Linked DNA regions of Sus scrofa. The protein of the gene in region 1 purifies or fractionates together with the protein of each later gene. This does not show direct contact. Links are inferred from orthologs where the notes say so. Each region holds a gene or a part of one and is shown on either strand. Other genes may lie near its edges.

Region 1 (4,293 bases):
CTAAGGAATTCCCCTCCTGATGCAGAGGAAATGAATCCGACTAAGAATCGTGAGGTCGTAGGTTCGATCCCTGGTCTTGCCTAGTGGGTTAAGGATGCAGCGCAGCCGTGAGCTGTGGTGTAGGTGGCAGACGCAGCTTGGATCTGGCGTTGCTGTGGCTGTGGTATAGGCCAGCAGCTGTAGCTCTGATTAGACCCCTAGCCTGGGAACCTCCATATGCCACTGGTACGGCCCTAAAAGGACAAAAAGATAAATAAAACAATTTTGGCTGGGTATTGTTTTTATCCATATTTTACAATTAAGAAACTAGGTGTTAGAAAGTTTAAGCCCGTGATTTGCCCAAAGTCCCACAGTAAGCAAGCGGCATAGCAAAGAATACAAGATTCCAAGTCCAAGCTCATCAGAAGAGTACAGACATTGCCCAACCTGTTGTTTGTTGGATAAATGACTGACCTTGTATAACTGCCAGGGATTTAGGGAGGGAAACAGAGTTCCCAACAAAACACCTTGATCAATAAGAGGAGTGGGTATTTTCTTGTAATGCAGCAGGTTAAGGATCTGGCATTGTCACTGCAGCGGCTTTGGTCACTGCTGTGCCGCGGATTTGATTCCTGGCCCAGAAATTTCCACACACCACGGGTGGGGCCAAAAATAAATGAGAGGTTGTTGGGAAATGACTGACTTACAGAGTAAGTGGAAGAATTCTTGCACTTTTATTCAAAAAACATTTTTTTAATGACCCCTAGGGGCCAAGCACTGTATCAGTTAATTGGTGACGGTTCAGGTCCGGGTTGGTCTCTGTTTATGCTGTTTTCCTCCACTTTCTCTACCCCTAGGTTTTCTCGTATCCAAATGGAGTTTCCCTAATTTCCCCGCTTCCAGGCGACCATGGGACCTAAATAATGTCCCCTTCCCTCCGTCTTTCCCCTTCCCGGAGGGCAGTTGAGCGGAGAACAGCGGTGAGCATCCGCATCCTCTGCGCTTTGGTGTCCATTGACCCTTCCGCCAGTCCCCGCCCCGCGCGGGGGCGTAACCGCCACTCCACCCCCTTCCCTCCCGTGGAAACGCGAACTTCGGCGGCCGCCGCCCCGCCCACCGCTGACATCACGATCAAAACAATCCTTTAACTACAAGTCCCAGAAGGCCCAGCGACTGCGCCAGGTGGTCGCTCGCAGCGGTTCTGGCACGACTACATGTCCCAGGGAGCACCGCGCGTCCACATCTCCTCTACTGCGCAAGTAAGGAAACGCCCAAGTTTCCGGCGTGGATCTAGGCGAGCGCGGTTAGCAGTTGGTCTGAGTTTCTGCCTAGGAGGGCTTTTTGATTTACAAGGTTGGGTTCGTGCCTGTACAGGTAAGGTAATAAGCTTAGGAACGCACCGTCGCCTCCTTGGAGCGTGGACAGGTTTCACTGTCTAGGGAGGCTAGGACAAACGCTGGATTTAGAGCTGCGGTCTGGGATCAGAGATAATTCTTCGCTTTTCCTCGGCGTTTTCTAGTTCACGAACTTTTTTTCTCCTCCAGCAATCCCTGTTAATCCCCAGAACTTTGTGTGTGGAAGGGGAAGTGCCTCCAGTTGACAACTGAGGAAGAGGTGATTGATTTCTCTAAAGACACTACCTAGTAGTTGCTGAGCAGGGCCTTAATTCTGTTTTCTAAGTCGGAAACCGGAAACCGATATTCTCTGCTTTACATCGAATTACTAACGCCTTTCTTGTTGACTAAGAGGCTTAGGGAGTGGCCATCTGTTGCCTTTTCAACTCTGGAATATCCCAGTTGAGTGGTGAAGGGGGCGATGAAGGCGATGAAATCAAGTCTGTCAATCTGTAGAGACTGCTTTCTTTTTATTTCTGAGTCATTTATTCCCTCGGTGTATTTATAGAGGTGCCTTTGGGTTGTCTAGCCCCATCCTAGGTACTAGAGTTCCAACCCTTACATTCTTGTGAGGGTAGACAGACAATAAACAAATATATAGTGAAGCGGATGGTGATCAGAGATAAGGAGAAAAATAAAGCAGGGTAAAGAGAAACTGCCAGTGAAGGATTTTGAACTGAGTCCTAACTTATGTTTAGATCTGACATTTGTGTTCTAGGCACAACAACTACGCAGAAAAGATGGGAGAGGAGGCCAATGATGACAAGAAGCCAACAACTAAATTTGAACTCGAGCGAGAAACAGAACTTCGCTTTGAGGTGGAGGCATCTCAGTCAGTTCAGCTGGAGCTGCTGGCTGGCATGGCAGAAATCTTTGGCACAGAGCTGACCCGAAACAAGAAATTCACCTTTGATGCTGGTGCCAAGGTGGCTGTTTTCACTTGGCATGGCTGTTCGCTACAGCTCAGTGGTCGCACCGAGGTGGCTTATGTCTCCAAAGACACCCCTATGTTGCTTTATCTCAACACTCACACTGCCTTGGAGCAGATGCGGAGGCAGGCAGAGAAGGAAGAAGAGCGAGGTCCCCGGGTGATGGTAGTGGGCCCCACTGATGTGGGCAAGTCCACAGTGTGCCGTCTACTGCTCAACTATGCAGTGCGCTTGGGCCGCCGTCCCACTTACGTGGAGCTGGATGTAGGCCAGGGCTCTGTGTCCATCCCTGGTACCATGGGGGCCCTCTACATTGAACGGCCAGCAGATGTTGAAGAGGGATTCTCCATCCAGGCTCCTTTGGTGTATCATTTTGGTTCCACCACTCCTGGAACCAACATCAAGCTTTATAATAAGGTCAGAGCCAGGGCCAAGGTGGGGTGGAGGGAAGGGCTGCTGTCAGGGTTGAAAACTGTGCAGAAGTTTGCTAATTAAAACTCTTTGCTCCCTCTCGGCTGGTATATTGCTCCATGATTTTAGGAAAGACAATTTGAAAATAAGTCCATCTCAAACTGTTAAACGTTTCTGCGGACCCATTCTTAAGTAATTTATTAAATTTCCATTTCGGACATGAAACAGAGGAGACAGAAGAAGCAACGCAAAATAAAAATTAAATCCATGTTACGGGGTCAAAACCACAGCCATGAAAAATGTCATTTTTCTTATACCTGATACCACTTGTTCTAAAGAAAGATAAAATAGCCTTGGGTTTGTTTCTTTTGGTGTTTTTTTTTCCTCACTTTGCTTCTTTCTTTTGCAGATTACATCTCGCTTAGCAGATGTGTTCAACCAAAGATGTGAAGTGAACAGAAGGGCCTCTGTGAGTGGCTGTGTCATTAACACCTGTGGCTGGGTCAAGGGCTCTGGTTACCAGGCCCTGGTGCATGCGGCCTCAGCTTTTGAGGTGGATGTCGTTGTGGTCCTGGATCAAGAACGACTGTACAATGAGCTGAAACGAGACCTGCCTCACTTCGTACGCACTGTGCTGCTCCCTAAATCAGGGGGTGTGGTTGAGCGCTCCAAGGACTTCCGGCGGGAATGTAGGGATGAACGAATCCGTGAGTATTTCTACGGATTCCGGGGCTGTTTCTATCCCCACGCCTTTAACGTCAAATTTTCAGATGTGAAAATCTACAAAGTCGGGGCACCCACCATCCCAGACTCCTGTTTGCCCTTGGGCATGTCTCAGGAGGACAATCAGCTCAAGCTGGTCCCTGTCACTCCTGGCCGAGATATGGTGCACCACCTCCTGAGTGTTAGCACTGCCGAGGGCACAGAGGAGAACCTTTCTGAGACCAGTGTGGCTGGCTTCATTGTGGTGACCAGTGTGGACCTGGAGCATCAAGTGTTTACTGTGCTCTCCCCAGCCCCCCGCCCCCTGCCTAAGAACTTCCTTCTCATCATGGATATCCGGTTCATGGATCTTAAGTAGAGATCAGCAGGAAGCTTTGCTGCTTGGGGGCGTAGAGATCTCCTGGCCATCACAAAGGCAGATGGGTGAAGTGTGGGAATCTCTTGAGACCAGGCTGACCAGTAAGTCATGGACTAGCAGAAAGCATATATTCTACCTCTTAAAACAGGTGATAATAACCTAACCCTTTTGATCTTGAACCAAAAGGAAAACTGTAAGAATATAATTGGTTTCTTAGATTACCTAAGGTGTCACTTTGAATTCTTTGAGTTCCAGAAAAATCCCATTTCATTCACTGTGCTACTATGTGGACTAATTCTGAGGAGGGATTTTTTTTTTTTAATATTACTGCTTTATATTCTGTATATAGTACTTGTTATCTCGTTTATGCAGGGTGAAAGAGTGAATTTGAAGGACTCCTTCCAATAAAGTTCATATTTGGGAAAAAAAACTATTTTAATAAATATTTTTGCCATATCACAGAAGTTGGTATAAGTTGTTTTTTTTAATTTTGTTCTTT
Region 2 (3,432 bases), on another chromosome or scaffold:
GAAAAAAACAAACCAACCTAAATACCAGATTGTCCCACTGTAAGATACCAAGTTGGAAAATTGGAAAATGAATAACCAAGATTTTTGTCTAATTTAGATACACTGAACGCTGTTAGTGTCCTATTCTGTAAGTTTCTAAGTACAATTTTGATTCTCTCAGTTATGCTGATCAGGAAGGATGGGTAAATACGTAAGAGAAGAGCTGGAAGTTAGTAGATATAGCCCGTATTTTGAGGATTCTTTATGTATGAGAAGATAACTTTTTTATTTTTTATTTTTTATTTTCTTAGGGCCCCACCAGTGGCATGTGGAAGTTCCTGGCCTAGGGGTTGAATTGGAGCTGTAGCTGGCAGCCTGCACTACAGCCACAGCAACACCAGGTCCAAGCCGCATCTACGACCTACACTGCAGCTCATGACAGCGCGGGATCCTTAACCCACCTGAGCTAGGCCAGGGATCAAACCCACATCCTCATGGATACCAGTTGGATTCTTAACCCATTGAGCCACAACAGGAACTCTGAGAAGACAACTTTAAATGTTTATATTTGAGCCTTCAGACGTTTCCTGGGTCAGCATTATGGATGTAATGTTATTGCCTACCTCCTTAAGATTTTACAGCCTTTGACCTTATTATTAATTGAGTTAGCATGAATCCTAAGTGTATTGTGACTTTATTTTCAGGATAAGGGAGATCTTGAAGGCATCTCGAAAATTGCAAGGTGATCCAGATTTGCCAATGTCTTTTACTCTGGCCATAGTGGAGTCTGATTCCACCATAGTTTATTACAAACTTACTGATGGATTTATGCTGCCAGATCCTCAGGTCAGTTTTGAGACAACTGTCAGTAAACAGTGAAAAAAGAGGAAGCTGATGACATGCTTTTAAGTGTGAATCAAGCTCTTCAAGAACTGTCACTTCTTTTACAATATGAAAATTCAAGAAAAAGTGATTTTTCATACCTCAGAAAGTAATGTGTCCTAGCTGTTTTCACAAAAATAATTTTATTTCCTTATTCTACAGAAAATGTTACAGTTTTCCAGAATACTTTGTGAGGTCATGCTACATTTAATTATTTGATGAATATAATTGGGGTGGAATGTGAAGGTTTATAATAGTTTTAACTGAAAGAACGCTTCTTTAGGAAATGTTAAATTGGTTGACATTTTGACAGGAACATTTGAATAAATAAATGTATTTTGTATGTTTTTTTACATACATTGTTGGCAAAATTGAGATAATCACATCAAATATTTTTCTAGTTTTGCTTTGAAATTACTTTATCTGTTGGGGAAAAGGTCCATTCTGATCTTTTTTTTTTTTTTTTTTTTTTTTTTTTTTTTATGTTGCAGAATATTTCCCTTAGAAGATGACACCTCTACCTCCCAGTGCTTGCTTTATTCGTACAAGATTGGATTGAGACCCATCAGCCTGGTTCACCTTTAATCTCAGAGTTAGTCAGGGTTGACTTAGCTGGTCCCATCTCAGTCAGAAGTTTTTTTTTTTTTTGAAGAATAAAACTTTCCCAGATAGAAGAATTTATTTTGTTTAATAATATAGAGTAGATGCTGTAAACCTTTCTTGCCTGGAGACAGGTTAATTATAGTTGTATACACGTTCATGCCCAAGTTATTTTCAGAAGGATGGAGCACATGGGTTTCTTCTGTTATTGCTGCCTCTGCTAGCTCACTGTTGAGACTGGCATCTCTTCTCTCCACTCAACTCTTTCAGTGCCTTTTGGCCACTACACTAGCTTGGAATGACATTTATATACACCTTGACACCTAGAGAATTTACTTGAGTCTGCTTTTTCACCCCCATTAGGAAGTAAACATTTTCTTTCAGTTGGTTTTAATGTTGCAATTATTGTTACTTCCCTCTGTGGTTGACTTTGAATCAAAACTAATTATATGCTCATCCAGTGTGTACAATTACATATCCAGATTAATGGGACCAGAGAAGTGCTACCTACAAGAGTATTGGGCCTTTTTTTCATTCTTATAACCACCACCCTTACTATATCGTAACTAAGAGAGGGAGTGGGGGCAGTGTCAACCTTGAAAATATCTTGCTCAAGTAGACCCAGTTATTCCACTCTTGTTAATACCTCCCAATTAAGTTGCCTAAAGTTGAAAAACTTATAGGCACCAAGATGTTTCAAGTGACATTTTTGGGTGTATGATAGCCTAAATTATAAACCACTTAAAAGTTTAAGTCAAGGGTCAGCAAACTTTTTCTGGAAAGGACCAGAAAGTTTTTTCAGGCCATATAGGCTTTCTCACAACTTCTTAACTCTTCTCAACTCTGCTCTTTGTAGAACAGAAATAACCACAGACAGTATGTAAATGCATGGATATGGGTATTCCAGTAAAATTTTATTTGCAAATGCAGGGCCATAGTTTGTCAACCCCTGGTCTGGGGAAATAGTCAATAAGAATATATAGCGAATGAATGTTACGTTATATACCCATTAAAAATTAGTAATGAGTATAGTAAAAAAAACATGAGAAAATACTTATTTAAAAAAAAAACTCCAAGATAAAAAACGAATGAATGGGTATGATCCTGACTGTACATAATACACCAAGTATATAATAAAAAGATGACAAAATAAAGGAACTGTGGTTATAATAGGATGGCAGGGCAGTAAATGGATGACTTTGTTTTTCTTGAATATCTCAGTTTTTCTTTATTTGTATTACTTTTATAATAAAAATGTTTTAAAATTAAAAAGGTATCCTGAGGTCTATGTTAGTTACCTATTGTTGCCTACTAATGTTAATACAAACTTAGCAGCTTACAATAGCACACATTTTATATCTCAAAGGTGGGTCCTTTGTAAGGCTGCAGCCAAGGTGTTGGCCAGGGCTATAGTCTCACCTGAGGCTTCCGTGGGGAAAGGTCTGCTTCCTCACTCGTGTGGATAGCAGCTTTCTGTTCTCTGTGGGCCCTTGGGCTGAGAGCCTCGTTTAGTGGGCTGTTGTCAAGAAACCACCCCTTTTTTGCCGTTTAGGCCTCGCCAGCACAACGGCTGTCAGCTCAGTGCCAGGAGGGAGAGAGCCTCAATAAGACGGACCTCATCATTGTGTGTAATGTAATCATGTGCATCCTTTCACCTTTACCATATTCTGTTGGTTAGCAGCAAGTCATGGCTAATAATTACTCTAGAAAACAATAATAACAAGAACAGAAACGTGGCCAAAAGTAGGCAAATCAAAAAATGGTATAAAGCATTATTCTTGGTCTGTAGTATCTCCTGACCCCTTTCCTTTGATATTTGAATTTCACTTTTCTTTGTGATGGAGGGTCTTGGCAACTCCTTCAGACTCCCTCTCATTCCCTAGAAAGCTTAAAGTTGCACCAAGTCAGAACCATATGTGTTTCTGTGTCCCCACTGGATAAATTGCAAATATAAGGATCCTATAATAATTT

What was found.
Region 2: the proteins of CLP1 (region 1) and TSEN15 purify together in Homo sapiens (affinity purification with mass spectrometry; 4 studies listed by BioGRID and IntAct, counting the BioPlex papers as one, with this or other methods). This does not show direct contact. The link is inferred for Sus scrofa from reciprocal best matches to the Homo sapiens genes CLP1 and TSEN15.

Annotation. Positions count from the first base shown.
Region 1 is NC_010444.4:13,282,122-13,286,414, reverse strand, and holds CLP1 (polyribonucleotide 5'-hydroxyl-kinase Clp1), read left to right. Parts: upstream 1-1,206; 5' UTR 1,207-1,353; intron 1,354-1,523; exon of another isoform or gene 1,524-1,593; intron 1,594-2,071; exon of another isoform or gene 2,072-2,091; 5' UTR 2,092-2,113; coding exon 2,114-2,719; intron 2,720-3,122; coding exon 3,123-3,794; 3' UTR 3,795-4,258; downstream 4,259-4,293. UniProt on the Homo sapiens protein: Polynucleotide kinase that can phosphorylate the 5'-hydroxyl groups of double-stranded RNA (dsRNA), single-stranded RNA (ssRNA), double-stranded DNA (dsDNA) and double-stranded DNA:RNA hybrids. dsRNA is phosphorylated more efficiently than dsDNA, and the RNA component of a DNA:RNA hybrid is phosphorylated more efficiently than the DNA component.
Region 2 is NC_010451.4:125,335,120-125,338,551, forward strand, and holds the end of TSEN15 (tRNA-splicing endonuclease subunit Sen15), read left to right. Parts: intron 1-683; coding exon 684-825; intron 826-1,352; coding exon 1,353-1,373; coding exon of another isoform or gene 1,374-1,446; 3' UTR 1,447-2,733; downstream 2,734-3,432. UniProt on the Homo sapiens protein: Non-catalytic subunit of the tRNA-splicing endonuclease complex, a complex responsible for identification and cleavage of the splice sites in pre-tRNA. It cleaves pre-tRNA at the 5' and 3' splice sites to release the intron.